Linked DNA regions of Tamandua tetradactyla. The protein of the gene in region 3 interacts with the protein of the main gene of each other region in a biochemical or structural test. Links are inferred from orthologs where the notes say so. Each region holds a gene or a part of one and is shown on either strand. Other genes may lie near its edges. The genes, in order: CSTB, CSTA and CTSB.

Region 1 (10,877 bases), on a different chromosome or scaffold from region 3:
AGCCTGCTTCACCCAGGCAGTCGTTGACGCGCACACGTTCCAGACTGTACCTTGGGCCCCTTTCCACTGCCTTCCGTGCCTGAAGCTGGAGCTGGCCGTGGACGCTGCCCACGCTCAGTGCAGCCACCTGCCTGTGCTGGGGGCAGGGACGCCCCCACCCCCGCCGTGCCTGCCTCCCGGGCAGGGCAGCATGTGCCAGGGAGCAACCCTGCCCCCAGAAGGAGTGCACGGGCCACTCTGGCAATGCCTTTTGGTGCCTTCTCAATGTCCATGAGGCAGGATTGTTTGGGGGAGCATGTCTGCACTGACCAGGAGGAGAAACTTCATTTCTTAATTCCCCATGGGCTAGAAAATGAAGCCAGTTCACGGGCAGCCCCCCGCAGGTGGGGCCCTGGCTTGCCTCACATTCATTTCCCAGAGGGTGTCATCGGTGCACAGGCAGGGGCTGGAGGGCAGGCTGTGCGTCCAGGGCCAGTGAGCAGAGCCCTGGGCACACCAGCCCCTCTGCCTACCTGTGACCTGGCCGTCGTCCCGGGGGTGGGGTCGCAGGTGTCAGCTCCTGTCCCCCGGGCCTGCCCACCCCTTCCCAAACCCCACTCAGGCCCCTGGCCTCCCCACACAGAGCCCTCCTCGAGGGTACCACTGTCCCTGGGCCCTTGCCCTCTGCTGCTGCTTTGCCAGGATAGTCTCGTGCCCCCCACCCACCCCGTGGCGGGCCACCCAAATGAAATACACCCCCTCCAAGACGCCTTCTCACCACCCAGCCGCCAGACCCGCTTCTCTCTCATGCTTTGCTCCCTCCGCGGCACTTCTCGTGATTTTCTATGCGTCCCAGGCATTTTCGGATCTCATGGTTTTACTAAGCCAAAGGAAACCACTTTTTTAAAGTTTGAAAATATTTATTTAAAGATAATACTTAGCCCTCTGTGAAAGGAAGTTAGTTAAGATCATGGAATGGGAAAGAAAGCCACCTGGACACAACAAACAATTTAGGAACAGAGGCACAGGAGGCGGCTTAGCCCCTCCCCTCCCCCACCCCCAAGGCCAGCGCAGACACGTGCTAGCTTTACCACCCCCAGTGCACACTCATAGAGGACAGAGGACCATCCCAACAGGCTAGTCGTAGGGACAAACAGCTCCCTTTGAGGTCCGGAATCAAAAATAGGTCAGTTCATCATCCTTGGATTTGTTGATCTGGTAGCTGGACAAGCTCAGAGGCTTGTTTTCATGGGGGAGGCTCTGGAAGACCCGCAAGTGGACGAAGTGATCGTCGCCGACGTGCACCTGGAGAGCAGGAGGCAGGTGAGGCAAAGGTGGGGCAGCCGCAGCCCAGGCCCGTGCCCCGCCCCGGGTGTGTGCGGGCAGAAGGCGAGGGGGCTGGGCCCCGCAGGTGTGCCCTGGTCCACTCCCACGTCAGTGCTGGACGCCATCCCCGCCCCCGCCCACGAGTCTGGGGGCCATCTGTGCGACCACACAGCGACACGCAGCCTAGGGGCACCCCGCGAAGCACCCCTGCTCTGGCGCCGGCGAGGCCAGGGCCCACTTTGCCCCGAGCCCCACCTTGATGAAGAAGTTCATTCCGGCCACCACCTGGTGCTTGAACTCGACAGCACTGAAAACAGGAAACTTCTTATTTTCCTTCTCCTCCAGCTGGGCCTTCACCTAGGAGAAGGGGAGAAAATGCGAAGACGCTCAGTGACTTCTTTCCTGCCAACGGGCCTCTCACACACGGAATTTGTTTCTCATGTTAAGTTTCTAAACTGAATTCAAACACCAAATCTTCACGTACTTCCTCCAACAGATTCACTCCATGACTGAGGAAACCCAGTGAGCCAAGGAAATTGGTAGCTCTAATGATGAAATACCAAAAAACCAAAAAAGTAATAGAAGTTCCTTATTCATCTCACCAGAATTTTAATATTTCAAAAGACTGTCTGCCTCTCCTCTTCTAGGCATTGGGCATTTTTATCATTACAACAGTAAACACAGGTTTATGCTCTTTATTTCTTCACTTAACACATTCACACGAAAGTCTGCATGTTCTTTTTTAAAGCGAGCCTTCCTCTGCATCGTGTGCCCTGATTCCGTGGAGGATCCCCCTCCCGTGGCCATTTGGCTGTCCCCAGTTTTTGCTGTGACAAGTCACGCTGTGGTGACCACAGGTGGAAAGCCCTGCCCTGAGGGAGGGTTTCTTCAGGACACAGGGCCTTTGGGCCAAGCAGGACCCAAATCCGAAGTGCACAGCCAACATGCGTTTGAGACAACCCTGTTTTCTAGGTCTCCACAGTTTAGGAGATGGCCTCCTCCACGGGGAAGGGGGAGCAAGTCTGTCTCTTTTAGGACAGTAGCTAAGGCCCTGCCTGGAAGCAGCAGTCCATCCTCAGAATGCGTGGGGTGTCCAGACCAGCCATGGCGGGTCCGAATTTTAGTTAAAAAGGAAGACACAGAACTGCAGGAAGGGTGCTGGTTGGGAAATGAGGGAGTCATCAGGAATCACATGCAACTGAGTCACTGTGACGACCCGAACAAGGGCCATGGGCGTCCTGGAAGCCTCTGAGCCTTCAGAGCAGGGACACCTGATGGGGGAGGACAGAGAGGCTGCAGTCTGGCAGGAGGGCGCAGGGCGGCAAGCGGCTGCGTCCTGTCGGCCCTCTGTTAGCTCCTCACGCCGGTGCCCACCCGGCTGACATACACCTGCTGGATGGTCCACACCCTCAGGAGGACAAAGGAGTGATCCTGGGAGCGGCCCAGGGCTGCTGAGGAGAGGTCAAGGACAGGAGGAATCGCCTGTCTTTGGGGGCTTTCAAGAGGCAGAAAAGCCTAAGCTATTTGCAAGAAATGGAGGAAAAAAACCCAAATGGAGCAGAACGGGCGGGCTGGGGGAGAGCGCCCAGCAGGAGGCGTGGAGGGGCCAGCGGGGTGTCCCGGAAGCCGTCCACCAGCCCTGCCACCCGGGTGACAAAACGCAAGGACCTGGTCCTGCGCCTGCCCTCCAGCCTCCTCACCTGGAAAGCAGACCACACTTAGGCCAAGACTAGTGAGGATGCAAAACGCAGCGACATGGTAGGTGCTCCCCTTCTCCTTAGACCCCCAGATACGGCCGGCTTCCATCAGGCAGGCCCAGTGATTTCTCCCAATCACACGGCTGCCCTCTCCCACACCCCCCAAGGGGTGCTGAGCAGGGACAGAGCCCCTTTGGGATGGTGGCCCTGCTCTCCTGGCTGCCGCCAAGAACTCATTCGCTCAAAGTTCCCAGCCTTCTGGAAACTGACCCTGACACTGGAGGACTCGCGGGTCTGGCTACCAGGCAGCTGGGAAGGAAGGGGCCAGGCCTGAGGAAGTGGCCGTGGGAGAGGAGCTCGGCACACTCTCTCCCGGGCAGTTCACGCGCGCCAGTGGAAGGGCCTTCTAAAAGGTCCTCCTTCCCAAGGGCCTCAGGGCACCGACTCGTGGCCACCTGCTGTAGCCCGAGCCGGGCGCAAGGCCCCTGGGCTGACCACAGGCCCCGGCTTCAGCAGCAGCCCGCGGGGAGGGCGAGAGGCAGGCTGCTGCGCCTCCGCCCTCCTCCCCGCGTCAGGCGCCCCGGTGCGCCCCGGACATCTTGGCGGACGGATCCTTGCGTGGAAAGAACCGATTTTGTGGACACGTGACGACAGGACGACCAGGCGGGCCTCCGGGGCTACCGGGCACCTCTCCCCGTGCCGGCTGCGCCCTGCCCGCGGCTGAAGTCGCAGGATCGGGCCGGTCCCACCCTGCGCAGCTGGCCCGGCGCTCGCGCCTTCTCCCGACCCCCCAGGAGGGGAATGGGAGCCCCCCCGCCGGCCCTCCCGCGCCTCTCCGTGGCTCAGCGGCCGCGCCCGGGAACGCGGGTGGGAGTGGGGGTGGCGGCACACCGCGGGTGCAGCCTTCCGGGCCGGGGGCGCGCGGGCCCACCTGGTCGGCGATCTGCTGCGTCTCGGCCGTGGCCGGCTGCGAGGCCGAGGACGCCCCGCACATCATCGCGGCGGCGGGCGGGGACTCGGCTCCCGGCCGCGCGCGGGGCGATAAGTAGTGCGCCGCCCACGTGACGCCCCGTGACAGCCACGTGACGCAGGCGGGCCCAAGGCGCGCGGGGCGGGGCCGGAGGGGGCGGGCGGGTCCCGTGGCGGGCGCCCCCCTCTCCGGGCTGTGGTGTCACTTCCCCGCCCCGCGCCCCCGCAGAGACTCGGGGCGGCGGGAGGGAGGGGGGTGGGCGCGGCCGGACCTCTGCTGGGGGCGCCCCGGGCCGCGCGAGGGGGTGGGGGCGCCGGGGGGCCGCGGGAGGGGCCGCGGGGGCGGGTCCTGCGGGTGAGCTTGGAGACGGGTCAGAGCCCGTGGTCCAGCCGGGACCTGCAGGAGCCTGGGCGAGAGGCCCGCCCCGGACCCAGCCTACTGGCGGGTGGGAGTGGGGGGTCACAAGCCTGGCCCCCCGAGGGGCGCGGAGAGTGAAGCACAGAAGTGGGCAGCCGAGTGCGGCAGCTGAACACCCCAGGCCGGGCTGGGGTCAGCTCTGTGCGGATTGGAGAGGGATTTGGGTTAAGATTTAAATTATACTCAAGCACCTGGGGGCAGGGAAGGGCGCATCCTTGTTTGGGGCAAGAGCTGACTGGCCTTCCAGAATGATCTCCCGCTCCCGGATCCCCGGGCTGCACCTACTCAGGGCTGAAGGGTTAGGCAGGGCTGAAGGGGTTGTGACTGATAAACAGGTCTGTGTGGGGGCGAGGAGCACCTTTCCCATACCTGCCAGGTGGGAAGGGTTCTGGAGAGACGGGACATCGGGTGGAGTCAGAACCCTGGGGAGGTCAGGAAGATGCTCCCTTGTTGTTGAAGAGTGAGTGGTTGAACGAAAGAATGACAGGTTTGATCCTATAGAAATGGAGCAGGTCTCCACACAGAAACAAAGCATCAAAAAATTAACCAAGGAAGGAAAGGGAAGCACTTCTCTTGCTTTTTCCACTCAGTGGCTCTGTGAGGCTGGGCCCCACTGTCTTGTGGAAAATATGTTGATGTGTCCAAAGGCACCAGGCGTGGGGACCACTCTCACACCCCCAGAGGTGGGGCTGCAGGTGTCCACAGCTGACACCTGTGGGGAGAAACGAAGCCAGCTGGTGAGAACAGCAAAGGCTCTTTACTCAGAAGTTGCAAAGATAAGACTTGAAGGTAGGTGGGAGAGTGAGCAAAAGGGAGGCTTCAGGTGGGCGCTGGTCCTGCACTGTGAGGTGGGGAGGCTGGGGGCGGCTGGCAGGAAGTGGGCATCTTCTGTGGTTGGTTTGGGGAGCAGATCTGGTTTTCTGCCGTTGATCCTGAGTTGGGAACGAGGACAAAAATTAGGGAGGCAGGTGGTCACTGACTGCGTCCCAACTGTTTGGGGCCGGTTGTTACGGGGGTTCCGATGGGTTTCGGACCGTGGCACCATGCAGCGGGCACTGTCCCCGAGAGTGCCAGGGAGCCAGTGAGTGAAAGCAGGCCGAGCACACCTCTGGAAAGCGGAAAGAGGAAGACAAGTGGGGTAAGTTGGGAGAGGAAACACATAAACCCTGTTAAAATGCTACTGCCATAGGCTCAACCCCACTCCAGATGGCAGAGCGAGGCGGGTCAGGGCTCTGTCTTGCTGTGGAGGCTCTGAACAACCAGCGAGAACTGGCAGAAACGTCTTTGCCAAAACTCCAGAAAACAGTGAAAGCACTGCAGTCACAGGGCGAGCCCCAAACCAGAAAACCAGCCACTTAAGAGCGGTAGGATCCCCGGGTGCCCGGCCAGCCCTTCCCCACCCCTCCCTGGCTGAGGGTGGGGGTGGCCCATGCCCTGTCCCCGGTGCGGAGGCCAGCCCCGGGTCCTGTGGGGTCAGAGTAGCCATTATGCACGCGCTGGGAGCATGCGAGTCTGGCCCAGTCTGTCTGGGTGTCTGAGGGACTCGCCGCTCAGAGCCTGCCCTGCTCCAGTCAGCAGGCTAGGGGCAGCTGTGGACAGGGAGTGTGCTGCCGGGCTGTGCGGAGTCTGTTTCCTAGGGGAGAGGGGAATTCCTGGGCCACACGTGCACGCCCAGCATAAGGTGCACGAGCAGAAAGGGCAGGGGAGACCTTCTGCTTCAACTCAGCAGGGGAGACCTTCTGCTTCAACTCGAAGCTGTTCCGTGATAAACATGAGCCCCAAAGGAAAGCACTACAGGAGCTTGATCTGCGAAAAGTGGATACATGTTTTCTTTTTTTTTTATGTTTTTTTTTTGGTCAAACCTTATAAAACAAACATACAACCATTCTTGACATACAAACATTCCATACATGGCATACAATCAGTGACTCACAGTATTGTCCAGTAGTTGTGTATTCATCACCACGATCATTGTTTTGAACATTTGCATCTCTCCAGCAAAAAAAGAAAAAAAAGAAAAAACTCATACATGCCACAGCTCTTACCCCCCTCTCTCACCAGTAGTATTTCAACCTATTCAATTTTTTTAACCTTTGTTTCCCTTATTATTTGTTTATTTTTATCCATAGTTTTTAATCATCTGTCCATACTCTAGATAAAAGGAATATCAGACACAAGGTTTTCACAATCACACAGTCACATTTTAAAAGCTGTATCATTATACAATCATCTTCAAGAATCAAGGCTACTGAAACACAGCTCTGCAGTTTCAGGTACTTCCCTCCAGCCACTCCAATACACCATATACTAACAAGGGATATCTATATAAATGCATAACAATAACCTCCAGGATAACCTCTTGACTCTGTTTGAAATCTCTCAGCTGCTGACACTTGATTTTGACTCATTTCTCTCTTCCCTTTTTTGGTCAAGAAGGCTTTCTCAATCCCTCAGTGCTGAGTCCTGGCTCATTGGGATTTTTGTCTCATGTTGCCTGGGGTATTTACACCTCTTGTCATGGTTAGGTTCATGTGTCAACTTGGCCAAGTGGTGATACCTGTTTCTCTGGTTGGGCAAGTGATGGCCTGTCTGTTGCGATGAGGACATTTCATAGAATTAAATCATGATCACATGCGCTACGTCCACAGCTGATTCCATTTGTAATCAGCCAAGGGAAGTGTCTTCTGCAATAAGTGATGCTTAATCTTATCACCAGAAGCCTTTTAGGGAGAATTCAGAAGAGACAGGCGCTCTACCTGCTTTGGCTGGCTTCGGCCAGACCCTCCATCAAAATCGTTGGCTTCACAGGCCTCCCTGCAGATTTTGGACTCTACATTCCCACGGTTACGTGAGACCCTTTTATAAACTTTATATTTACGAATATTTCCTGTTGGTTCTGTTTCTCTAGAGAACCCTAACTAATACACCTTGGGGAGTCTTGTCTCCCAGAGTATGGGAGTATGGCAGTGAGTTCACTTGCTCCTTTGGCTTGGAGAGAGAGGCCACATCTGAGCAACAAAAGAGGTTCTCTTAGACCTATTGTTTTTTATTTTTACAGGATTAAAGGCCCTCAATTTTATTCTGGCTCCCTATGTTTCATTGTTCAAATGACCTATCGAGACAGATTGAGTTATATTGTGCACTACAGAAAATTTAGGTTCCAGACAAAATAAACCTTTCTTCCTTTGGTATCAAAGAGTAGGTGTGGTTCTAAAATACAGACACTGTCTTCCTTACCCCTGCATTCTGAACTACCCTAATCTTGACATGATTAGCTTCATTCTTATCTCTAAATACCTGGTTATAGACATATAAAACAGCCTCTCAAAATCCAGAAATAAATGTGTCTGCTCTAAGAGCTTATGATCTAGGCCCCTGTTTTCTTATAAGCATTTTCTAAAGGAGACCTCACCATAATTGCTCTTTCGTTTCTGGCTTTTTTTGCCTCATCCTGTGTCCCACAGGTTCATTCACATCGCTGCATGCCTCACAGCTTCGTTCCTTTTTGTATACGCACAATATTCTTAAGCCTAATTAAAAAAAATTTATTAAAAAAACCAATCAACGTACAATATGGAAATTATTTTTTGTCACGTAGCTGTATATTCATTACCATCATCATTTCTTAGAATATTTGCATCAATTCAGAAAAAGAAATAAAAAGAAAACAGAAAAAAATTGACACATACCATACCCCTTACCCCTCCCTTTCATTGATCACTAGCATTTCAACCTACTAAATTTATTTTAACATTTGTTACCCCTATTATTTATTTATTTTTAATCCAGATGTTTTACTCATCTGTTCATAAGGTAGATAAAAGGAGCATCAGACACAAGGTTTCACAATCATACAGTCACACTGTGAAAGCTATGTCATTATACAATCATCTTCAAGAAACACAGCTCTACATTTTCAGACAGTTCCCTCCAGCCTCTCCATTATACCTTAACTAAAAAGGTGATAATGTGTAAGAATAACCTCCAGGATAACCTCTCGACTCTGTTTGGAATCTCTCAGCCATTGACACTTTAATTTGTCTCATTTCTCTCTTCCCCCTTTCTGTAGAGAAGGTTTTCTCAGTCCCTTGGTGCTGAGTCCCAGCTCATTCTAGGATTTCTGTCCCACATTGCCAGGAAGGTCCAGACCTCTGGGAGTCGTGTCCCACACAGAGGGGGAGGGCAGTGAGTTTGCTTGTCATGTTGGCTGAGAGAGAGAGAGAGAGAGGCCACATTTGAGCAACAAAAGAGGTTCTCTTGGGGGTGACTCTTAGGTCTTAGGCCTAATTTTAAGTAGGCTTAGCCTAACCTTTGCAGGGTTCAGTTTCATAGGTGTGAACTTCAATATCTAGGGCTCGGGCACATCAATTCTGTGGTCCCCTTTGCTTGCAAGAACATCAGAAATTCTCCAAACGGGGAAGCTGAATATTTCCCCCTTTCTCCCCATCCCCCCAAGGGACTTTGTAAATACTTCTTTATTCACCGTCAAAATCACTCTGGTATTTATTAGGGCATCACACTAACATGGGCAAACAAGATCTCATGCCCTATTCAAGATTCTGTGTAATTATGGTATTCAATTCAACTGACCATACAAGTTAAATTAAGAAACTTTATGAGCCTAAATATGAATTTTGCATCAAATAAACATTTCTCCCTTTAGTCTCACACAGAAGTTCAAGTTTTAAAACATGGATGATGTCATCCTGTAACCAGTCTTCTGGTATACCTTAGTCCTCTCCAGCTCAGCTTCATTCATGTCTCTACTCGATGTTTGATCACTTTTTCAGCTTTTTAGACAGCTCCTGTATGGGGCACTGCTAACTTTCATAGCTTCAGAGCTCTAACTCTGAGTCTCGGGTGTCACACAAATACCCAAAGTTTCTGGGAAAGACCGTGTTATATACAAATATCTCAGAATCTGAGATTTTTGAATTAGCAGTTCCACCTCCTGAATAGATGTGATTGCTGCAAGAGCTTATAGTCTAAGACTTTTCACAATAAGCCCTGCCCTGATAACCCATGCTCTCGATTTTAGTTCACTGAATTTTTGTATTGTAGTTAATCCATATGATTGAGGCATGATATTTGCTTTTTTGTTCCTGACATTTCATCCAACATACAGCTCTTAAGGCTCATTCACCGACTTGCCTGCTGCACAGCTTCATTCCTTCATGTGGCCCCTCAGTCGTCCACTGTATGGACACACCATTGTCCCCTTCCATTCCTCGTCATTGTACCCTTAGGCCACCTCCATTCACTGTGGGTCACGAACACTGCCAGATACCCCAGTGTGCAAACGTCCATTCCTGTCCTCACACTCGGTTCCTCTAGGTATACACTGAGCCTTGGGGTTCAGAATCCCATGGCAACCCCACCCCTAGCTCCTGGGGACCCCCCACACTGCCCTCCAAGGGGCTGCACCTCTCCTTCCCCTACTGACAGTGAACAGGTGCATCTCTCTCTCCACATTCTCTCTAGAACTTGTTTCTCTCTGTTTGATTTTAAACAGTTTTATTCACACATCATACAATCCAGCCTAAGTGCATAGACATACCTTCGCCAGAATAATCTGTCTGAAGACATTTCCTTTTCTTCCACTAAGAATCTACACCCCTTTCCCAGTCCCCCCACCTGTTAATACTTAGTTTTGGCATAATGCCTGTGTTACATTCAGTGGAAGCATATTGCAGTGTTACTGTTGACTACAGACCCTAGCTTGCATTGATTGTACCTTTCCCCCATATACATCTACATTCAATACCCTGCGATACTGACATTCCTTTGTTCTTCCTCCTGCAAAAATATTTTTAAATTTGTACATTTAATCATCACCATTGTACACTCTAGGCATTCCTAAATTATACCATCTCAATCTTTATCATCTATCTTTCCTCCTGGTTTCGTTTGTGCCCCCAGCCCTCCTCCCTCTATCATACTCTCATTCAGCTTCATTCAGTGATCTTACATTATTGTGCTACAATTAGATAGTATTCTGCCATCCATGTCTGAATTTTTACAATTAGTCCTGTTGCACAATCTGCATCCCTTCAGCAACAATTCCCAAAAGTCTACCGTATTTCTATTTCTTTTTGTTTTGTTTTGTTTTGGCTTTTAAATAGGGGATTTATTGAGTTACAAGTTTACAGTTCCAAGGCCATGCAAATGTCCAAACCAAGTCATCCAGAGGAAGAGATCTTGAATCAAGATAGGCTGATGTCTGTCACATGGGAGGGCACCTGGCTAGCCTGCATCCTTTCCTAGCTTCTGGTTTCAGACAGCTCTCTCAGCTCCGGTATTTCTATCCCTTGATGGCCTCTATTCTTAACTGAAATTCTCTGGGATCATTCATTAATGTTAGCTTATATCAGTGAGACCATACAGTCTTTGTCCTTTTGTTTCTGGCTAATTTCATTCAGCATGTCTTCAAGATCCATCCATGCTGTTACATGCTTTATGACTTTATTCTGTCTTGTAGCTGCATAATA
Region 2 (10,674 bases), on a different chromosome or scaffold from region 3:
TGGAGTCTCCCCCTACCTCCAAGTTCCAGGCAACATCTAATCTGTTTTTTGTCGCTATAATTTTGCCTCTTCCAGGATTTCATTTAAATGGAATAATACAATACATAGCCTTCTGTGTTTGGCTTCTTACATTTTACTTCCTTCCATTTTCACTTGATTTTGAGGTTCACCGATGTTATTGAATATAGTAATATTTTTGTTACTTTTTATTGTTGAATAGCATTCTACAGTATGGATATTCCATAATTTGGGGTGTTTTTTTTTTGTATGCTATATGGTGGTGTCACTTCATTATTTTTCCATGTGAGTATCCATATTTTTATTTCAGCACCATTTGTTGAATTTTTTTTTGTTTTTGTTTGTTTTGCTTGTTTGTTTTTTGGGAAGTGCACGGACCAGGAATTGAACCCCGGTCTCCTGCATGGCAGGCGAGAATTCTACCACTGAACTACCCTTTCACATCCCTCCCATAATTTGTTTTTATCCGTTCACCCCTTGATGGACATTTAGGTTGTTTTCAGTTGTTGGCTATTACAAATAATGTTGCTATCGACATTTCTGTGTAAGTCTTTTTGTAAACATATATTTTCATTTCTCTTGGGTGAATTCCTAGGAGTGAGCATCAATAACAGGGGCCTATAAGATATATGGGATTTTGTTTTCCAGAGAAATGAAAATGTTCTCGTATAGATTATGGTGGTGAATGCATAACTATGTGATTATACAAGAGCTGTTAATTATACGCTTTGGACAGATTGCATGATGTGTGAATTAAACAGTTAAAAAAATTCCTATGAGCTGTTAGGCACAGGGTCGTTAAGGATTCCACATGAGACAGCAAGTCAAAGATTAACAGATTTATTGAAGGAATAAAGTATGGAGGAAGCAGGTGGGAGAGTGAAAGGAAGAACGTAGGTAGGAGCAGGAAGAAAAAGAAAACAGCTCCAGGTCTTTGTTCTGGGAGCTGTGTTTTAAAGGGAAAGTGACACCAGGAGGGGAGAGTGCCCACTAGGTAGTGTGCTGACCCTTGATTGGATGGGGGCTTATTGACTTAGGGTATGACGGATTGCTGATGTATTCTCCTTTGATGTGTAGGTGCATGTATCAGGCAGGGTGAGATGCTGGCAGGCGAGGGTGTTAGCAGCAGCACCTTCTAGAGGATATAGTACTAGCTAGTATGGCAGTTGGTGCATATCTGGGTCCTTGGACCTGCCAAGGACGCTGAGGAGGGGGCTGAGAGAGCTCTGCATCAAAAGTTCCTTTTGCTCTTAGAATTCTTTTTCTGAACTCCAACAGAAGTGGAAATGAGGTAAAGGTAGCTTTACTATTATAACATACTGCCATACTGTTTTCCAAAGTGGCTGTACCATTTGCATTTCCACCAACTGGATGAGAGTTCCAGTTGTTCCACATCACTGCCAACACCTGGTATTAAAAATCTTTTTGATAACTAGTCCAGTGAGCCTGTAGTGGTATATGATAATGGGCTTAATGCATTTTTCCCTCTCTGACCATGATTCGACCCCTACCTACCACTGCTTCCCAGCCCCCACCCCCTACTCCACCTCCTCTGCGATTGGAATTAAGCTTCCCTCTGCCCTTCACCCAACCTTCACTCCAACAAACCATCACCTATGCTTAACCCAATTTCCTGTCTCTATATACTGTGACTCACTCTGCCCATTAAATGCTTTTTTTTTTTTTTTTTTCTGCAACTCTGCAGGTCCAAATTCTACACATTCTCAAAGCCCAACTCAGATTCTCTCTCTCCCAGGAAGATTTCTTTGACCTTCCCAGTTGGAAGCAAACTCTCCTTTCTTAAAACTCCTATTGTAGCACGAAAACCAGGAACGAGGCCGCAGGCCTCCAGGAAGGTTCCACGAAGTTAGAACAGACTGAGACTAAGGATCCGTAGTTTCAGGAAGCAGGTTTTATTTACTATGGCCATAGGGCTCAGGCAGTAACCTCTGAAAGTCTGAGCCCCGAACAAAAGGCAACCTTAGCTTTTATAGACTCTTTGACATGTTAAAGACAAGGTAAACAATTGGCTGATTTAAGTTGGGAATGGCCCAAAGCTGAACCATTAAGGGAGGGGTCCCTACCCCAGAATGTCTTATCTTGCCTACTTGCAGCTTCACCAGTTCCTGAAGGCTAGGGAAGGGGGTTTCTATCCCAGGAATGTGTCTTATGCTTGCCTGCAGTTTTATCCATTCCTGAAGGTCAGGAGAGGGGGGTTGAGGATTTTCCACAGAGAGCACAGCTGAACTAGAAAGGGGGGAGGCCTGCCTGCTACACTATTGCACTTCTATACAAATCTTTGGACATTTAACCATTTTCAGCCTTGTAATATACTTATTAGTGCAGCCTTGTAATATACTTATTTTCTAATAGACTAAAAGTATCTCAAGGGCAGGGAATCATATAGCCAATTAAAAACAACTTTTCCTTCAAATCCTTTGAAATGAGAAACAGTCTCCTTCAAGAAGTTTTTTCTAATCAAGCCTATCCAGTTCCAATACCTTCATATATACCCAGTAGTTATATACCTGGTCTTTCTAACTTATACATAGTTTGCAGTTTTCAGCTTTGATGCGATCTTTACTTGGGTCGCTTCTTTCTTCTCCTTTAGAGTATAAACTTCCGAAGGGCGGTGCTGTATCTTTCATTTTCTTCACTCCCTCAGTCTGTAGACTTTCTTTATACCCCTTTAATGATACCTTTTGTAAAGAAGGATTTTTATAAAGCTTAACAGTAGCTAATTTTTCTTGCTTAATTTAGCTATTTACATATATTTTAGCTTCTGAACGATAGAAATATCCAGCAAAAGCATTTGTGTCATTTTATATTCACTGCTATGCATTTGGTGTTAAGAATTGTAAAGAAAAGAGTTATGGGCCCCATCAGGCTAAGAAAAACAACACGGAACTTCCCAGGGGCGGTTATCTGCTGCCTTGGTTATGCAAGGTTATCTGCTGCCTTGGTTATGCAAGGTTATCTGCTGCCTTGGTTATGCAAGGTTGTAACTGCCAGAGGAAGTTTATCTAAGAATGCAACTGAGAAGGTTGAGTAAGGGAGTTTTGCACAACGAGACAGTTGCTTCTTGCATGAAGCAGCTCCCATGACTCATGCGCGAAAAATGTTTGTTATCTGCTTCTTGCAAAATGTTTGTTATCTGCTTCTTGCAAAATGCTTGTTATCTGCTTCTTGCAAAATGTTTGTTATCTGCTTCTTGCAAAATGTTTGTTATCTGCTTCTTGCATGAAGCAGCACCTGTGACCCATGCTCGACCCTCACCACCCTCCTCCTACCCCTTAAAAGCTTCCCCAAACCCAGGCTCGGGGCTCTCTGTTCCTGCGTGTTCAGTGAGCCCCACGCATGTGTGGTAAATAAACCCCTTTGCGTGTTGCATGAGAGAACGTCTCTTGGAGTCCTCCTTTGCGTGGCAAAACTCTCGAATTCTTACACTTTAAGTGTATCAATTAGAATACTTTGGGGGGCAAGTAATAGAACTTGTGGCTTAAACAATAAGGACATTTATTATCTTACTTAACAAGAAGCCTGGACTAGACAGCCGCAGTACAAAGACCCAATAATATCCTTGTCAACCAATCAATAAACTAAGCTGCAAGGCAACAAACTGCATATATATTTGGGACCTTAGAATTGCAATTCAGGAAACACAAATTTGGGTAGCAACCCAAATAGTGTCTCATCTTGGTATTTCCAGGCAAGGGTTTTTAAAAAGAAAGATTACATACATTGTTTGTGATTGGTGGATATCCAATTGTCCTTCAGGTTAGAAAGTTCACTGAGTTCTTTATCTTGTGGTTCTATGGTGCCTGGATATCCTTGGGGTTCTGAGGAATGCCGTTGCTTGAGGCTTTGCACACTGTGGCAGTTTGTGAAATCTGGCTGAGATTTCCTAAGAGTAACCTCCAGAATGACCTCGCACCTCCATTTAAAAACTCTTAGCCATAGCAACTCTATTTTGTCTTATTTCTCTCAACATCCTCAAGACCCTCTTTCCATATTTCTGCTGCCATGCTCAGGATATAAACAAATATCCCTGCATAGTCACAAGATAACTTGCAGCAGCTACAACCATCTCACCCTCATGGAACAATTCCAAAAGCTCAGAGGGAAGGAACAGGATTAACTAAAGATTAAATGAGAAGAAGTATATAAAGCGCTTTGCACAACATCTGAATTACAATAGGTATTCAATAAATGGTCGATAATTTTAATTACAGGGGTTTTAACATCTTCTGTTCCCTATGACCTATTTTAAAGTTAAAATCGCCAAAATAAAAACAGTACATAAAATACAAAGAAAAGGCTGAATTTTTTTTTTTTTTTTTTAGAAAAAGAACATTAAAACCTAATGATAGCTTTTTAAAGCTCCTCACAAGCAATAAAAGCTCATTAGCATCAACAACAAACAATGGGTGAATTCTTCCTAGGTGCCAGGTGCTTACACCTGGTCAGCAAAGTTGGGGCAGACAGAGTCCCCGACTGGAGAACATTTACTTCCTCTGGAACTCTGTAAGTATTAAACATACTTCTGGATTAAGGTGGTTTTTTGTGCACATTTTTGTAACTGAGAAATTAGAATTTGAGGGATATTTTAATTACTGAATCATTACATAAATGTTCCTTTTGCTTTTGGGATTTTGGAGTAGACAAAGGAAAGCACCCAGAAGCCCTGAACTATAATTAAGCTGTTTGGGACATCCAGAGGGATGATAAAAGCTCTTATCTTTTACCTGTTGCCTGAGTGGCTATGAGAACTGGAACCCCACTATCTGGTTAGTCTCTTAGAGGCCTCAGTGCTAAGGAAAATGACCATTAACCAGCCTCAGCACCTTACGTTTGTAAATTATATCCAATGGGCTCTGCTATTGAAAAATAGATAGCTCTGCCTTCTTATGTTAACTTATGCTAACAGTGTGTACTTTTCAGCTCTGCTAGGCCCTGCCATTGAAGGATAAGATAGCTCCTGTCAATTTATGTTAACAATGTTTTCTTTTCTGCTTTGAACTTCCTGTTAACACTATTATTTTTTTCTGCTTTGAATTTACTATCTGAAGTGACCTCATCGCCCTTGTTAGAATCCTTAAAACCCTCGAATCCCCTTTGTTCTGGGAGACAGATTTGGGGCCCTTAGGCTGTCTGCTCTCCTGCTACCTGTGTAATAATAAATGCTCTCTCTCTTTCAAACCCCGGTGTTTCGGTAATTGATTATTGAGCTCGCCAGGCAGAAGAATCCACAGCCTTTGTCCGGTAACATTATGAAACCCTCCCTCCCTCCCTACTCAAAAAACATAAGAATGTTGAAAAAAATATATTTTAAATTAGCAATTTAAATAATCGACTTTGAAAATGAGAAACTGGGAGGAAATCCGTGGTAGTCACTTTAAAAGCTAAAGTGAGGTAGGTCCAGCTTCACATCATAGGGACTGGACTTTCAGTATCCTTGTGGGATTGGGAGGTAAAGTAAAGGCTAAATATAGGGACCTGGGGTTTCTGCCTAAGGCCAGAGGGGGAATTCATTGCCCTTTCCTGACCCAGAGGTCATGATGTATCTTCCGGCGTGCCCTGGACCACAAGCATCCATCCCTGGCCATGGGTGCAAGCGCAGCTACCTCGGGAAGCCCATAACTCCAGACCTACAGCAAAAGCTGGAGACAAGCCCAATTTCCAGTGTCTTCATGGTTCAAGAACTCTAAGCCAAAACAGAACTGGTTTGGGGCCTGTGTACTACAGGATCGCAACCCAGCCTCACAGAAGAGACTGCCGTAAAGATAATTCCTGTGGCAGATGAGCTCACAGACAAGACTTACGCAATTTATGAGGATGTTGAGTACTGTAAAGACATCCTGAATAATTCCAACTCAAGGAATGACAGACAGCAGAGGAATCTTATAGGCATTTAAAAAAAATCTATATTAATTAATTGCATATTTGATTAATTAGATAATTAACATCAAGATATTAATTGTTGTGCTTTGCTTTTCTGTACCTCCTTGTTAGAGATGCTTCCCCCATAAGTCAACTATAGCAGTAATATGTTTTTTCTTCAGAAAAAAAACTACCAAACAAGATGGGAAGCAAATAGGACAAAATGTCAAAAATTTTCATTCTAGATGGTGGGAGTATAAGTGTTTGTTATTTTATTCTTTGCATTTGTGTGTATTTTGAATGTTTCTAGAAACGTAGATAAAAATAAAGTACAAATATCCAGCCAAGGTTTCCAGATAAACCCTTTCACTGTCTGTATAAAGTGAGGTAAATTCTAACCATCAGCCTTGATGCTATTAAGTATTCCTTAAAAAAAAAATACAGTGTTGTGTTGGAGGCTTTAACACATTTGGAAATTCTGGTTGTAGCTTCAGGATGCAACAAGACGGAACCATTGTCAAAGAAAAGGCAGGATGTTCGAGTCTCCTTATAGCAGGACTGTGTGTACACACTAATTTGTTCATCACCAACCCCAGTTCCTTAAATTCATATTACCACGTTTTGTTGGGGAATCAGGAAGAATTGCTTCAAGACATACTGGTTTTTACTGTGCCTTTCTGTTCTCTGTGGAGACGAAATCATCCCATAGGCGGAGCTTATGAACAAACACCCTCTTTAAAAACCAGAGTCTCCTTGCTTACCTGATCATTTGGTTCCAGCATCCTGCTGTGCAAAGAGACAATTAGCCAAAATGATGCCTGGAGGCTTAACCGAAGCTAGACCTGCCACTCCAGAAATCCAGGAGATTGCTAATGAGGTAAGTTGATGTGTCACATGAGAAGGTTTGATCCAAAATCTTGGTTTCCTGGGATGGACTTGAGGTAAGAGTGTAAGTGAGCATGAAAACCAGAACCCTGGCAAACGGGTGGTGGTGTGCAGGCTCCCTTACAGCTAAAAATGTTTTTTATGTGAAACCTCACTTTTTATGTGAAATCTCAACACCGTCAGGGGGACTCAGCAAGTCACATCCCTTCTGTGAACCTCAGCTTCCCTATTTATAAAAGAGAAATTTGTATTAAATCATCTCTAAAATTCTTCCAGCTCTCACAGTGTGTGGTTCTAGGATTACTAATTCAGTTTTCGATGAAACTTTTGTAATCTCCTAAGTAGAGCTAACATGTAATTAAAATCTAAGGTTGTTAAATATTTGATGAACTAGAATTCAAGTGCACTGGATGGAAACTTTTAAAAATGGTTTGAATGAAGAACAATATTGTAAAGGTGACCAACTTAAAACTTTTGATAGACAGTGTTTTAATCTAAGTAGAGAAAAGAAGTGGCATAGTCTGTGGTGATTTGGTGATTCCAAAGTTAATTTTGGTAAAAATTAGACTCAAAGTTTTTGTTTGTTTGTTTGTTTTATATATACATATATATATATATATATATATATATATATATATATATATATATATATATATTATTGAGATAACTTCACTCACCATACAGTCCATCTTAAAGTATGCAATCAGTGGCACACGATATCATTACATAGCTGTGTATTTATCACCATGATCATTTTTTTTTTGGCCTTTAATAAAAGGGGATTTATTTAGTTAAAAATGTATAGTTCTTCAGAGGAAGGGCAACTAACTTTCAACTGAGGTTCTTTCTTACGCGGGAAGGCACAGGGTGATCTCTGCTGACCTTCTCTCCAGGCCTCTGGGTTCCAACAACTTTTCCTGGGGTGATTTCTTTCTGCATCTCCAAGGGCTTGGGCTGAGCTGCAAGTGCTGAGATGAGGTATACTGAGCTGCTTGGGCTGTGCTACATTGACCTCTCTCTTTTTTTTTTTTAAATTTATTTATTAATTAAAAAAAATAAAGAACAGACAAACAAAAACATTAATATGTAATTCTGTTCTACATATAAATTCAGTAATTCTCAATGTCATCACATAGTTGCATATTCATCATTTCTTAGAACATTTGCATCAATTCTCAAAAAGAAATAAAACAATAATAGAAAAAAAAAAGATTATACATACCATACCCCTTACCCCTCACTTTCATTTACCACTAGCATTTCAAGCTAAATTTATTTTAACATTTGTTCCCTCTATTATTTATTTTTATTCCATATGTTCTACTTGTTTCTTGACAAGGTAGATAAAAGGAGCATCAGAGACAAGGTTTTCACAATCACACAGTCACATTGTGACAGCTATATCATTATTCAGTCATCCTTGAGAAACATGGCTACTGGAACACAGCTCTACATTTTCAGGCAGTTCCCTCCAGCCTCTCCATTACATCTTGAATAACAAGATGATATCTACTTGATGCATAAGAATAACCTCCAGGACAACCTCTCAACTCTATATGGAATCTCTCAGCTGTTGACACTTAGTCTCATTTCACTCTTCCTCCTTTTGGCCGAGAAGGTTTTCTCAATCCCTTGATGCTGAGTCTCAGCTCATTCTAGGGTTTTTCTCAATCCCTTGATGCTGAGTCTCAACTCATTCTAGGATTTCTGTCCCACGTTGCCAGGAAGGTCCACACCCCTGGGAGTCATGTCCCACGTAGACAGGGAGAGAGTGGTATCATCATGATCATTTTAAGCCTATCTTTATCACTCCAGAAAAAGAATAGAGAGATAAAAGAAAAAACCCAACATCCCATACTCCTTACCTCTCCTGCTCATTGACCACTAGTATTGCAATCTACCCAATTTTTTTTACCCCTTATTCCCCGCTCCCCTAGTATTTATGTATATATTTTTGTCCTTATTTTTTTACTAATCTGTCCATAGCTTGGATAAAGGGAGCATCACCACGAAGTTTTCACAATCTCATGGTCACATTGTAAAAGCTATATACTTATACAATCATCTTCAAGACTCAAGACTACTGGAATACAAGAACTCAATGTTTTTAGTGAGTTGATACTTTTTTGAAAGATTATTTGATTAGCTACCACCTACATAATAGAAATTATTGTATTGGCTACTATGTGACAGGAAAACACATACCAATCACTGTTTTAAGTATATAATTTTTTTACCTTATTTGCTTTTATCATTATTTCTTGTTTTTTGCTGAAACTTCACTCCATAACACTGTTTGGCAACAAAATCAACATGCTGTGTGAGTGGAAGAGCTGGGATCCTCTGAGCTAAGGAACACTGGAAAGCTCCATGGGGCTAGATGCTTGGAATTGCACTACTCATTCTTTGGGGCTAAATATTTCCCTTTAAATATATATATATATATGTGTGTGTGTATATATATATATATGTGTGTGTGTATATATATATATATGGAGCTTTTATTCTCTTGGAGAGGTTAATATTGCCATTAATACCTTCATTTGACTCCTCGTATCAGTCAATGTTCACAAACTTGAGCGTGCACATGAATCACCTGGGTCCTGTGAAAATGCAGATTCTGCTTCAGTGCAGTCTGGGGTGGGGTCTGGGAGGTGCATTCCTAGCAGGCCAAGATGCGGCTGCCGTCCACTGACCTCCTGAGCCTTTACGAAGACCTGATACATGACACCCTTAGAGGGCTACCTATGGGAGACGGGGTTTTCCAAAATCACAGTGCTGACATAAAAGTTCTTCATTTAATTTCTCTGTCCCTATCAGCGTGCTTCTTAATAGAATGTCAGCTGAAAGAACCCAGCGAGGGAGGGAGGGTCAGAAGGAAGAAAACAGTCATCCCACAGCATAGAGAAAGTATCAAAGAAAAGTGATGCTTTCATGTTCGAAGTCATCAAAATGAAGGGGGGATGATGGATGAGGTCAGAAAGAGCAGAAAGTCAAATAAAGGCTTGGGTTTGGGAAGACAAACATTTTTGAATGTTTCCCCCTTCTGAAGATAATAGAGATCAAATGGGTAGTTGCGGTATCATGTATTAAAGGAAGATAAAGGTACTTGTGTCCAGAGTACACTTGGGAAAAAAACTTTCCAACATTCAGTGTATTAGTTAAGGGCCATTGCTATACCCTTCTCCTGTACTTTTTCCTATTTGGGAGACAAGTCGTCATGAAGGAAAACCACCATGGTCTTTTCATTCAAAAAGCACTGATTATGTACCCAGTACTATGTGAATTGTGAATTACTCTAGGGCAAGGTAAAAGAGGAGACATAAAGATGCTCCCTGCTTTCTGGGAAATTTACAAAATAGTTTAGATGGATGACATACAAAGAAATAAAGAGAGATACAAGGCCCTATCCATGAAAAACCCATAATACATGTAAATAAGAGCCAAATGAAAGCACCTAAAAGCAAAATTCTCTGGATCATTATTGGTAATTATTATCCTAAATTTTATTTAAATAACCATTGGATGAGAATTCTGAGTATGTTTGTGTGTCAGAAGGAAATACTATTTTAATAATTACTTTCAGAAATAAAGGCTCATATTACACACACATATATCTACATCCACACACACACACACCCACACCCACGCATACCTAAGTCATAAACCAGACTGCCCAGTAGCATTCCCGGCAATACCCACAAACCAGGATTTTTTGTCTGCCAGGACGTCACATAAAACCTCATCTGCCTAAACTCATGGGCACTCCCTGGTGCCCTCTCAACACAGCCTCCCTATCAATCACCTCTCCACACCCAAAGAACCTGCCATTCAGCCACACCAGAAATCTTCCAGGCACTCACCCTCTTATCTTCATTAGAACATGCCAAA
Region 3 (10,277 bases):
TAAATCTCAAAGACACAGCAAGAAAGGATACATGCAGTATTGAGTCAAGTTATATAAATGTTTAAAAGATACAATGTTTATGGATTAATACTAAGTAATACAAGTACAAAACACACAGGGGAAAGCTAAGAAGGGCAGAGAGGAGATGCAAGTCCTTCTGGCAGATGGAAGGCAGGCCCAGAAATGGTACCTGACTTGGCAGTACACAGGAAGCTGAAACCCAGTGTTTGCAGAGAGGAACCCTGATGGGAAGTAAACTTAATCATCCTGTGGATCCCAAACAAGCTTGAGACCTGGAGGCATCAGGTGATGTGGAAGGGAGATAGGAGGCAAAGGCTGGAGTGTTAAAAGTCTAAATATCAGGTGCATGGGTGGTTCAGTGGTAGAATGCTCGCCTTTCACGTGGGAGACCCAGGTTCGATTCCCAGACCATGCACCACCCCCTCCAAAAAAACAGGTCTAAATATGCAGGAGGGTTTGAAACTAGATGTCCTACCTACCCAAACTAGGGTGGAATTTAAACATTAACAGTCATGTAAGGATTCTAGATTTAGCTCCCACATCATCCTTTCTTAGCAGCTCCTGGAGTGTGGTTTACTGAAAAATGAGGGTGTAAACCAAGAGAAGATATGGGATCCAACAGAGATGCTTAAGTGTTCCCCCATTACCCTGTAAGTATAACACACATCTGTGTATGGGACACCCAGATTCACCAACTTATTGTCAAACCCCACCATCCTCTTGGCTTCCCCTGTATGCTTTGAAGTTGCACCATAGGAAAGTGCCAGATTTTGACCCTTTTGATCTTCAAAAATTCCAATTCCTTAGAGTTCAACCTCGTATTTCTAATCCTTGCCTTATTTCAAACTGTCGAAAGAAAAAAAAAACAAACAAAACAAAAACAGGAAGACATTGTAAATCTGCGCTTCTAAATATTTCAGTCCTTACCTCACAGGAAAAAGGATATTCTATAAAACCACAACTTCATTACCACATTTAGGAAAATCACACAACAGATATTCCAGACTCAAATTTCCAGTTATCCCAACATTATGTCCTCTGCAGCCTTTCTATTAAAAATGTGACCTGCAGACCAGCAGTATCCATAGCACCTGGGAGACCATTGGAATCAGAATCTGTATTTTATGTTAAAATACATTTCCCTTCCCATTACTATGCAAAGTTAAGAAGCACTGACTTCTAATCCCGCCCTGCCCCCCTCCCCAATTCAGGATACAGTCAATGCTCACGTATGCATCTGGCTCTTTGTGGTCTTCCGATTCCATACCAGCCTTGTTCACCTCCCCCGCCACCCCACCCCACCCCATTCTTCATGACACTGAATGCTTTCAAGGGCTTTCCAGCAGAATATCCTACATCCTGGATTCTTCTAACTATATCCTCATGAATAGATACAGGTCAAACATTTTTGACAAGACTATTGCAGAGGGAAGTTTACGTTAATCTACTGCATCTCACCAGAAGACACCTAATGTCAAGATTTCCCATTTCTTGGTGATGTCCGGTTTGACCTCTCGTTTAAGGTTGACTGCTACATGTCTTCACTGTAATTTGCTAAAGTTTCCTTTTTTGGGAATTTGTACCTCATCTATGGGGTGATACTTCAATTTGACACTGTGTGAATATCCTTCTTGGCAACAACCTTTCACCCGATGCTTTTAGCACCTATTGATGATGCAAGGATGACTAAGCACCTTTGATAATGTTTCATCACATTGGAGTCACAAAATGGTTCATTCATAATTTTATCATTCTTTCTACACTTTAACTGACATTCTACAAAAAGGCTTCTCCCCCATCTATCCCCTTTTCTCAATTTCAGCAAAAGCAAAACATTCAGTGTTATGATCTCTTATTATTCTTGATCGTCCCGTCTAACACGTTTGACCAGTGGAAGGTCCTTCAAGTGAGCTCTTCTATCCTTCTGACACGACCCTCTTAGTCTTCAAAATTTTCTTGCTTTGCGGCACAAGATGTTCCAGATTCACCTTGTAATTTCCCTGCCCCAGACCCAGAATCAGACTTTTCATCAAGGAGCTTGAATTCCTTTAGTGGGAAATGGTTTTCAGAATCCAAGACCGGGTTCTACATCTGCTCACCACTACAGGAACAACAATGTTTCTAGACCCATTTAGTAGACAAAGCTGGAGAAAACATTTTATTTCCTAATACTGCCATCCAACTAACTCCTCCTCCTCTCCTTTCCCTTCCAGTACTATGATGTACAAACACGTGGGAAATGAGGTCATGGCAGCCTGAGGCAACCAGTTTGGTGGCTGGGGATCCCTATATTTTAGTTGAAAACTCTCTTCCGATTTTTTCAAAATTAGGTGAGATTGTGCAGATCCATATTCCATCTGTACAGGTTTTACTCTCAGCCCACCACTACAACACTAAGCCCAGAAGGGCTGTGCTATAAGAGCTCTGCACCTCCCTTGTTAGCCCTTTTTATAGAGAGCTCAAGTATTGTCCTGAAGATTCTATCTCTAATACAAAAGACAAAGGGACCCCCTTCATTATTTGACCAGAAAAGAACTCCCAGCCTTCTACAATGCAGGATCCCTATTGCCATGGGTTTAAGGACCCAAGGCTCCCCTGAAATGAGATCTCCCTTCCACTTCTCAATCCAAATGTCAATAGTTATACAAAATATCTTATACCCCTAATACGCTACAACTTCTTATTCCAACTCTCAGGGCCAGCAGCTGCGAGCAAAAGAGAGAACCTGTCTACAAGAGGAAGGGTATCAGCCAAAGCTGCAGAATCAGCATCACTCCTGGAGCCAAAGGGCTTCCCTGCCTCACCGCCGGACCAGTCCTAACAGAACATCCACGGGGGTTACTGGAGCCAGGGCTGGGCCTGGCCCATTGCCTCTGCCTAGGTCTGCAAACACCCTGATATGGTATCTGCGCCTTTCCACCTGGTAATATCTGTAGCTCTGGGATACACAACAAGATTCAAGTAGAAGCCACTTTTATCCAAGGCACGCCCGACTCCACCTTTGGGAAAGCCTTTCTCCCTAAGGCCCAAGGACCCCAGATCATTGTCAACAGGGTCAACAAGGAAACGAGATTACTGAAGACAAGTTAAGCAGCCTTTACCAAGGCAGGCACTCCTCTTCACATTCTTTCTGAATCTGCAGATTCATTTTGATGCATAAATAGAACACTTCTCAGCTGCAATCCTTCAGGTGGGAGACATCTGAGGAACACTGAGATGGTTTGAAGCTTTTATGGCCCCCAGGAAATCCTGTTTTTAAAGCTAATCCATTCCTGTGGGTGTGGACCCAGTATAAATGGGGTCTTTTTTTTTTTTTTTTTAACATGGGCAGGCACCGGGAATCAAACTTGGGTCTCTGGCATTGCAGGCAAGAACTCTGCCTGCTGAAACACCGTGGCCTGCCTGATGATGAATTGGATCTTACGATGTTATCCTCAGTCAGGATGGATCTTAATCCTCTTACTGGAGTCCTTTACAAGAAAATGAGATCAGACACGCACAGAGAAAGCCAGGGAAGCAAGAAACGGAAAGCAATGAGACCCAGAAGAGAGGGGAGACCAGCAGATACCACCATGTGCCTTGCCATGTGATGGAGCAGTCAAGGATCCCCAACGTCTTCAAGAAGAAAACATCGCCTTAATGATGTCTTCATTTAGACACTGTTTAACCCAATCCATTATAAAAGCCAACCCATTTCTGACATAACGCTTTTTTGGCTGTGTAGCAGACTAAAACAGTTCCTTCAAGGTACCAATAGGTGCCAGGTGTCCCTTTTCACCCCACAATTTCCTCTCTCACTGGATACGGTGTTTTTACTGAGTCGCCTAGAGGTATGGGGCCTGGGCTACAGCCCACCTCTCTGGGCCGGCCTGCTGGCCTTCCTCAATGCCTGAGCAGAAGCTGGGCTAGGCCCAACAAGAAACCAAGCCCAATCCACATCTGTCTGCCTACAAACTCCGCCCACGCTATTCTCTAGGCAGTCCCGCTCCTAGGCCTCTAGGGTCATTAACTGAGGGAGGAGGTGCTGTGCCAGCGAGTCGGGGTCTGATGACTGTCAGTCCTCCATACACGTTAAGGAGTAGGGAGTGGCATCTCTCCCTGTGTCCTCAGAGAGGAGGGATACTGAGGTCCCCAGGCCCCATACAGCTTTCTCTCTTTCCATTCTCCTTAGTTTCTCCTCCTCTGTTTACGGATTTAATTCTTAATTTCGGTTCCATCCTACTCCATCCAATTCCTGGTTCCTGTTTTTAATAGGCCCCTTCCTCTGGGGTCCCTGGAATTGTGTGGGATTGTGCGCAGAAAGTTGCACAGGCAAACTCTGACACGAGGAGGGAAAAAACAGCCTAAAATAGATGCAGGTAGATTCTATTATCTCAGCAATTCGCCTTAGGAAACTGAGGCCCAGGGGGTAAGTTTCCCCCCTGGGGAAACTCACTCAGTTTAGGAAACTGAGTGCCCAAGGTCACTGAGCTGGCAAGGGACTCGGGCTACGGCCAGGGCTGGATGGGGAGTCAGATTCTAGCCAAAGGTCACCGGGATCCGAGCCATATCCTTTCCCGCAGGACCCTCCCTCGGAGTTTCCCTACAAACTCCCCAGCTCTGCCTGGGGCCCCCTCCAGGGCCCCGCCCGGCATCTAGACCGATCACGGGGTCGCCGGACAGACCGGCTGCCTGCCTGCGTGCCTTGTTTTGCTTTTCTCGCCACAGCGACTTCCAGGAGTGCGGAGGCTGCCACCCCGGTTCATCTCCGCAGCGACAGCCTCGAAGGTCCCCTGCTTCCCGCCGGCGGTAGCCCCCAGCCTCGCCATCTCCCAGGGACGCAATCGGACTGCGCCTGGGCCTGGAGCCGGGGATCCCGGTGCCGGCCCCGCCGCGCGGCTCCCCCTCCCCCTCCGAAGGTCACTTCCGCCCCGGTCGCGCGGAGGGCCAGACCCGCGCCCGGGCCCGCAGAGGTGCGCGCGCCACGTGCCGCCGGCCCGCACTCACCGAATTCAGCTGCGGGAGCCCGGGGCTGCAGCAGCCAGAGGGGAAACACAGGGACTCAGGAGCCGCCGCCGCCGCAGCCAACGCCGCTGCCCGGAGCCCGCCCCGGCGCCTATTTATCCCGGCCCGGCCCCGCCCCGCTCGGCTGACTCGTCCCACGTGACCTTGGCGAGCTGCAGCCGCCCGGGGCCATCCCGGGGTCAGCCTCCCGCGCCCACCCGCGCACCCCCGGGTCCCTGCCCCTGCCGGCCCCCGCCACACTCCGCGCCTCTGAGGGCGTGCGCGCGCGGGGGGCCTGGGCAGGCCAACCCGGAAAACGCTGGGCACCCCAGACGCCCGCCGGCCTCGGGAGGTGGCAGATGCGCTCCGGACCTCCCACTTCCCTTCCCCGTCTCACCCCCGACCCCCACCCCACTCCCGCCGTAGGACAGGCGAAAACCTGCTATGCGAGACGCGAGCAAGGACTCTCTAGACTTGGACGGGGGTCCAAAGGATCTCCACCCACCCTACAGAAATTCCCCCAGGGACCCCTCTCCCCAAAGACAGCCTTTTTCAAAGCAGCCCCCCTCCCTCCATCCCCGGGATCTCGGCGTGGCAGGGGAGGACTAGCTGTAGCTAATCTCTTTCATTCAGCAGCCATTCATTCAAAACTCCTGCCAGGGTCGGGGATGTGAGGACAGCTGGCCTGGGGAAATTCCCTGAAGAGCCCTTCAATGTTAGCCTTTTACCTTAGCATTCGGAGAACATGTATATAAGACATTTCAGCAAACAGTAATAATAAGTAGTTATTACCGTGGAGTGTCAACCCTAGGAGCTGCGTCAGGAATTCCACCGAGAAGCAAAAGAAATTTGGGGGCTGAAATCTGGTTGGAAGAAGGGTACCAGAGATCTCTCATGAAGCTGTGGGAACCCAGCAAGCACATTTTTTACTTAGGGCTCCTTTGGAGGAGTGACCTGGGGAGGCTGATGGGGGGTGGCTCAAAACTCTGTCTCTAATCCTCATGACAATCTTGTAAGGTAGATGGGATCCGAATTTTATTCAAGAAGGTCAGAAAAGTTTGGTATTTTATCCAGGGTCTTGTGGCACTAAGAAAGTTGTGAATTTGGCTGTGCCCACCGTCAGCTGTTGCACCGTTTGTGTGCCAGCCAAAGCCCATGAGACGCTCTTCTTCCATTTACGGAGAAGCGTGTCAGAATCCACTTAGGAATGGAAGGGGAAAAAAAAATCTACAGCCCAAGCATGTTACTGAGTTCCATACTGAGTAAGATGACCTGAGGAATTTATGGCAACCGTGGAGCAGATTTGAAAACAGAATGTCCCAGCTGCCTCCTTATCTCAGCCGTATTCTTAGAGGCATGGTCTCCAGACTGCAAATCAGCGTTTTACCAGGTCATCTTCCATATATGAGACAGTCATTTTAGAACTGCATATAGAGCCCATAAAAGAAGGCACAAATGGGGAGGACACAGAAATAACCATGACAAACAAATCTCTCTATAGAGATAGTTTTTATTGCATGACAGCAGGTGTGCTAACTATTATACCTGCATTATCTCAATTTTATGGAATTTTGCATGTGCCATTATAGAGATTAAAAAAAAATTTTTTTTAAACATAACAACATACAAACACAAATATTCTTACCATGTATCATTCCATTCTTGGTATATAATCAATAACTTACAATATCATATTCATCACCATGATCATTTCTTAGAACATTTGCATCAATTCGAAAAAGAAATAAAAAGAAAAAAACTCATGCATATCATACACATTTGCCCCTTCTCTCATTGACTGCTAGTATTTCCATCTACCCAATATATTTTAGCCTTTGTTTCCCCTATTTTTTTCTATACCCTTTACCATTCCCTTTCATTGATCACTAGCATTTCAATCTACTAAATTTATTTTAACATTTGTTCCCCCTATTATTTATTTATTTTTTATCCATATGTTTTACTCATCTGTCCATACCATAGAAAAAAGGAGCATCAGAAACAAGGTTTTCACAGTCTCACAGTCACACTGAAAAGCTATATCATTATGCAATCATCTTCAAGAAACATGGCTACTGGAACACAGCTCTACAGTTTCAGGTACTTCCCTCTAGCCTCTCTAATACACCATAAACTAAAAAGGTGATATCTATAAAATGCATAAGTATAACCTCCAGGATAACCTCTCGAAAAAAAAAAAACTTTTGAAAATAAAGCAACCAACTAACGAACAAGATATATAAGTACTTTTAGGTAGAATTTAATTATTCCTGCAAAAAGGAATGTAGCACATCATATAATGTTTTCCTTACTGCCCTCCTTAGATCTTAAGCTCCATGAGGGCAAGAATTTTTGCCTGCATTGTTCTTTGCTGGATTCCTAGCACATGGCACAGTGCCTGGTACATAATAGATAGTGAATCAATATTTATAGAGTGAGTGCTTAAATGAATGAAGTGTGTCCTGATGGTTGACTAGAATTTTGACTTAACTTGCCAGGATTGGGCTCAGGAACTTGAGGCACAGTCCTCAAAACTACAGGAAGGCCTTGGCTTGTATGAGAAGTAGCTATTTGCCTGCTGAATACCTGGAAAAGGGGCCTAGGTATGTATCCAAGAGATATGAAAACATATGTTCCCACAATAGCATGTATACACAAATGTTCATAGCAGCACTATTCATAATAGCCAGAAGGAGAAAGAACCCAAATGTCCATCTTCTGATGCATGGATAGGCAAAATATGATACATCCATACAATGGGATATTATTTGGCCATGAAAAGAAACAAAGGACTGAAACATCTACAACATGGATGAATCTTGGAAACATTATGCTAAGTGAAAAAGTTACATTCAAAAGGCCACATACTATAAGATTCCATTTATGTGAAATGTTCAGAATAGACAAATCTGTAGATTACAACTTCATTTACACATGTAAAGGAATGGAACTAAGCTAGAACTAAGCTAGAGTAACCATTTTAATGACAAAACATCATAGTCAACTCTTAGTTCTGGACTGACTCAAGTTCCTTCATTAATAGTAGGGGGTTGGCAGGGAAATGGCTCAGTGGCAGCATTCTTGTCTGCCATGCCTGAGACCTGTGTTCTATCCCCAGTGCCTGCCCACGCAAAAAAAAAAAAAAAAAAAAAAAAAAATCAGGGGGTTGTCTTTCTGATCATAAGACTCTAAAGTTGTAAAACAGGATAAGGGAATACAAGTGGAGCCAGTAGCAAGGTTTTTACAATCTGCAATTCACTGGGGTATATACTAGAAAGTAAGAAAAAGGCATCTATATAATGATTCAGTCATCACAATTATTTGTCGAATCTTAATTCCTCAGTTACAATTCCTCCCCTTTCTTTTTTTCCTCCCTCAATCTTGAGGGACATCTGGATGACAGCCACTCTGACCTCATCATGGTGAAAAGGGGATGTCAACCTTATGGGGTAGAGGAACGAAACTGATTGTTATTCCTGGAGAGACTGGTACCTCTGGGTTTCAGCGCTTAACTGGCATAGGGAAGATCCAGAGACTTCAAGTCTCTGTCTGAACAGCAAACTTAACAAGTACATTGAAAAATTATAAGTTTAAATAAAAGGAACAGAAGGATTATGATGCGCTGATTTATAACTCTATCACACTGGGGGAAAGAACTTTTCATGGATTTTCAGCTAGAACCCAGGGTGTTACTTAGGATTCAGGAACAGTGTTGGCAAATGTTTGGCTGAGACCCACATGAGAGTAACCTCCAGAATGACCTCCTAACTCAATGCGAAATTTCTTAACCATTGAAACTTTATTTTGTTTTATTTCTTTTCCCCTTTTTTGCTCAAGAAAGCACTGCTACTCTATGTGCCTGGGATGTTACCCCTGAGTTATGGCCCATGTAGGGGGCAAGGTAGTGAGTTTATTTGCAGAGTTTGACATAGAAAAAGGCCACATTTGATCAACAAAGAGGTTTCGGGGGTGACTGTTAGGCATTGCATCATCACAGAAATAAGTTTTATAAGTATGAGCTTCAAGGTTGAGGGTTTGAGTGAGGACAACCAAATCAATAGGCTGAGCCCTCAATCTTGGGGTTTGTTCATATGAAACTTATCCCCGCAAAGGATAGCCTATTTAAAATTAAGCCTAAGAGTCACCCTGAGAAAATTTCTTTTGTTGCTCAAATGTGACCTATCTCTCTTTCTGCCAACACAGCAAGCAGACTCACCGCCTTCCCCCTCTCTGCGTGGGACATGACTCCCATGGGTGTAAACCTCCCTGGCAGTGTGGGATGGAAATCCTAGAATGAGCTGGGACTCAGCATCAAGGAATTGAGAAAACCTTCTTGACTGAAAGGGGGAAGAGAGAAATGAATCAAAATAAAGTGTCTGTGGCTGAGAGATTTCAAATAGAGTTGAGAGGTTATCCTGGAGGTTATTCTTACACATTTTATAGATATCCTCTTTTTAGTTTAAGGTGCATTAGAGAGTCTAGAGGGAAGTGCCTGAAACTATAGAGCTGTATTCCAGTAGCCATGCTTCTTGAAGATGATTGTATAATGGCATAGCTTTCACCGTGTGTCAATGTGAGTGTGAAAACATTGTGTCTGATGCTCCTTTTATCTACGATATTGAGAGATGAATAAAAAATATGGATTAAAAATAAATAAATAATAGGGGGAACAAATGTTAAAAAAATTGAGTAGATTGAAATACTAGTGAACAATGAAAAGGAGTGGTAAGGTGTATAGAAAAATAAATAGGGGAAACAAAAGTTAAAATCTATTGAGTAGATGGAAATACTAGTGCTCAGTGAAAGGGAGGGGTAAGAGGTATGGTATGTATGAGTTTTTTCTTTTTATTTCTTTTTCTGGAGTGATGCAAATATTCTAAAAAATGATCATGGTGATGAATATACTACTATGTGATGATATTGTGAACCACTGATTGTACACCATGCACGGAATGTTTGTATGTTAAGTATGTTCATGTTTGTATGTTGTTTTGGTTTGATAATAAAAAATAAATTTAAAAAAGAGATTGAGGGCTTGGCTTATTGGCATATTTACTTTTTGTGAGGCAGGGCTCATATATTCTAGAGTTTATTTTCATGGGTCTTGTTCTAGTTTGCTAGCTGCCAGGATGCAATATACCAGAAACAGAACGGCCTTTAAAAAGGGGAATTTAATGGGTTGCTAGTTTATAATTCTAAGGCTGAGAAAATGACCCAATTAAAACAAGTCTATAGAAATGTCCAATCAAAGGTATTCATCCAGGGTAAGATAC

What was found.
Region 1: the proteins of CTSB (region 3) and CSTB form a complex in vitro, tested with the Homo sapiens proteins (2 studies listed by BioGRID). The link is inferred for Tamandua tetradactyla from reciprocal best matches to the Homo sapiens genes CTSB and CSTB.
Region 2: the proteins of CTSB (region 3) and CSTA form a complex in vitro, tested with the Homo sapiens proteins (3 studies listed by BioGRID and IntAct, with this or other methods). The link is inferred for Tamandua tetradactyla from reciprocal best matches to the Homo sapiens genes CTSB and CSTA.

Annotation. Positions count from the first base shown.
Region 1 is NC_135336.1:101,412,736-101,423,612, forward strand, and holds CSTB (cystatin-B), read right to left. Parts: upstream 4,045-10,877; 5' UTR 4,000-4,044; coding exon 3,934-3,999; intron 1,663-3,933; coding exon 1,561-1,662; intron 1,285-1,560; coding exon 1,156-1,284; 3' UTR 879-1,155; downstream 1-878. UniProt on the Homo sapiens protein: This is an intracellular thiol proteinase inhibitor. Tightly binding reversible inhibitor of cathepsins L, H and B.
Region 2 is NC_135336.1:23,278,033-23,288,706, reverse strand, and holds the start of CSTA (cystatin-A), read left to right. Parts: upstream 1-6,646; 5' UTR 6,647-6,709; coding exon 6,710-6,775; intron 6,776-10,674. UniProt on the Homo sapiens protein: This is an intracellular thiol proteinase inhibitor. Has an important role in desmosome-mediated cell-cell adhesion in the lower levels of the epidermis.
Region 3 is NC_135329.1:33,495,082-33,505,358, forward strand, and holds the start of CTSB (cathepsin B), read right to left. Parts: upstream 5,137-10,277; 5' UTR 5,008-5,136; intron 1-5,007. UniProt on the Homo sapiens protein: Thiol protease which is believed to participate in intracellular degradation and turnover of proteins. Cleaves matrix extracellular phosphoglycoprotein MEPE. Involved in the solubilization of cross-linked TG/thyroglobulin in the thyroid follicle lumen.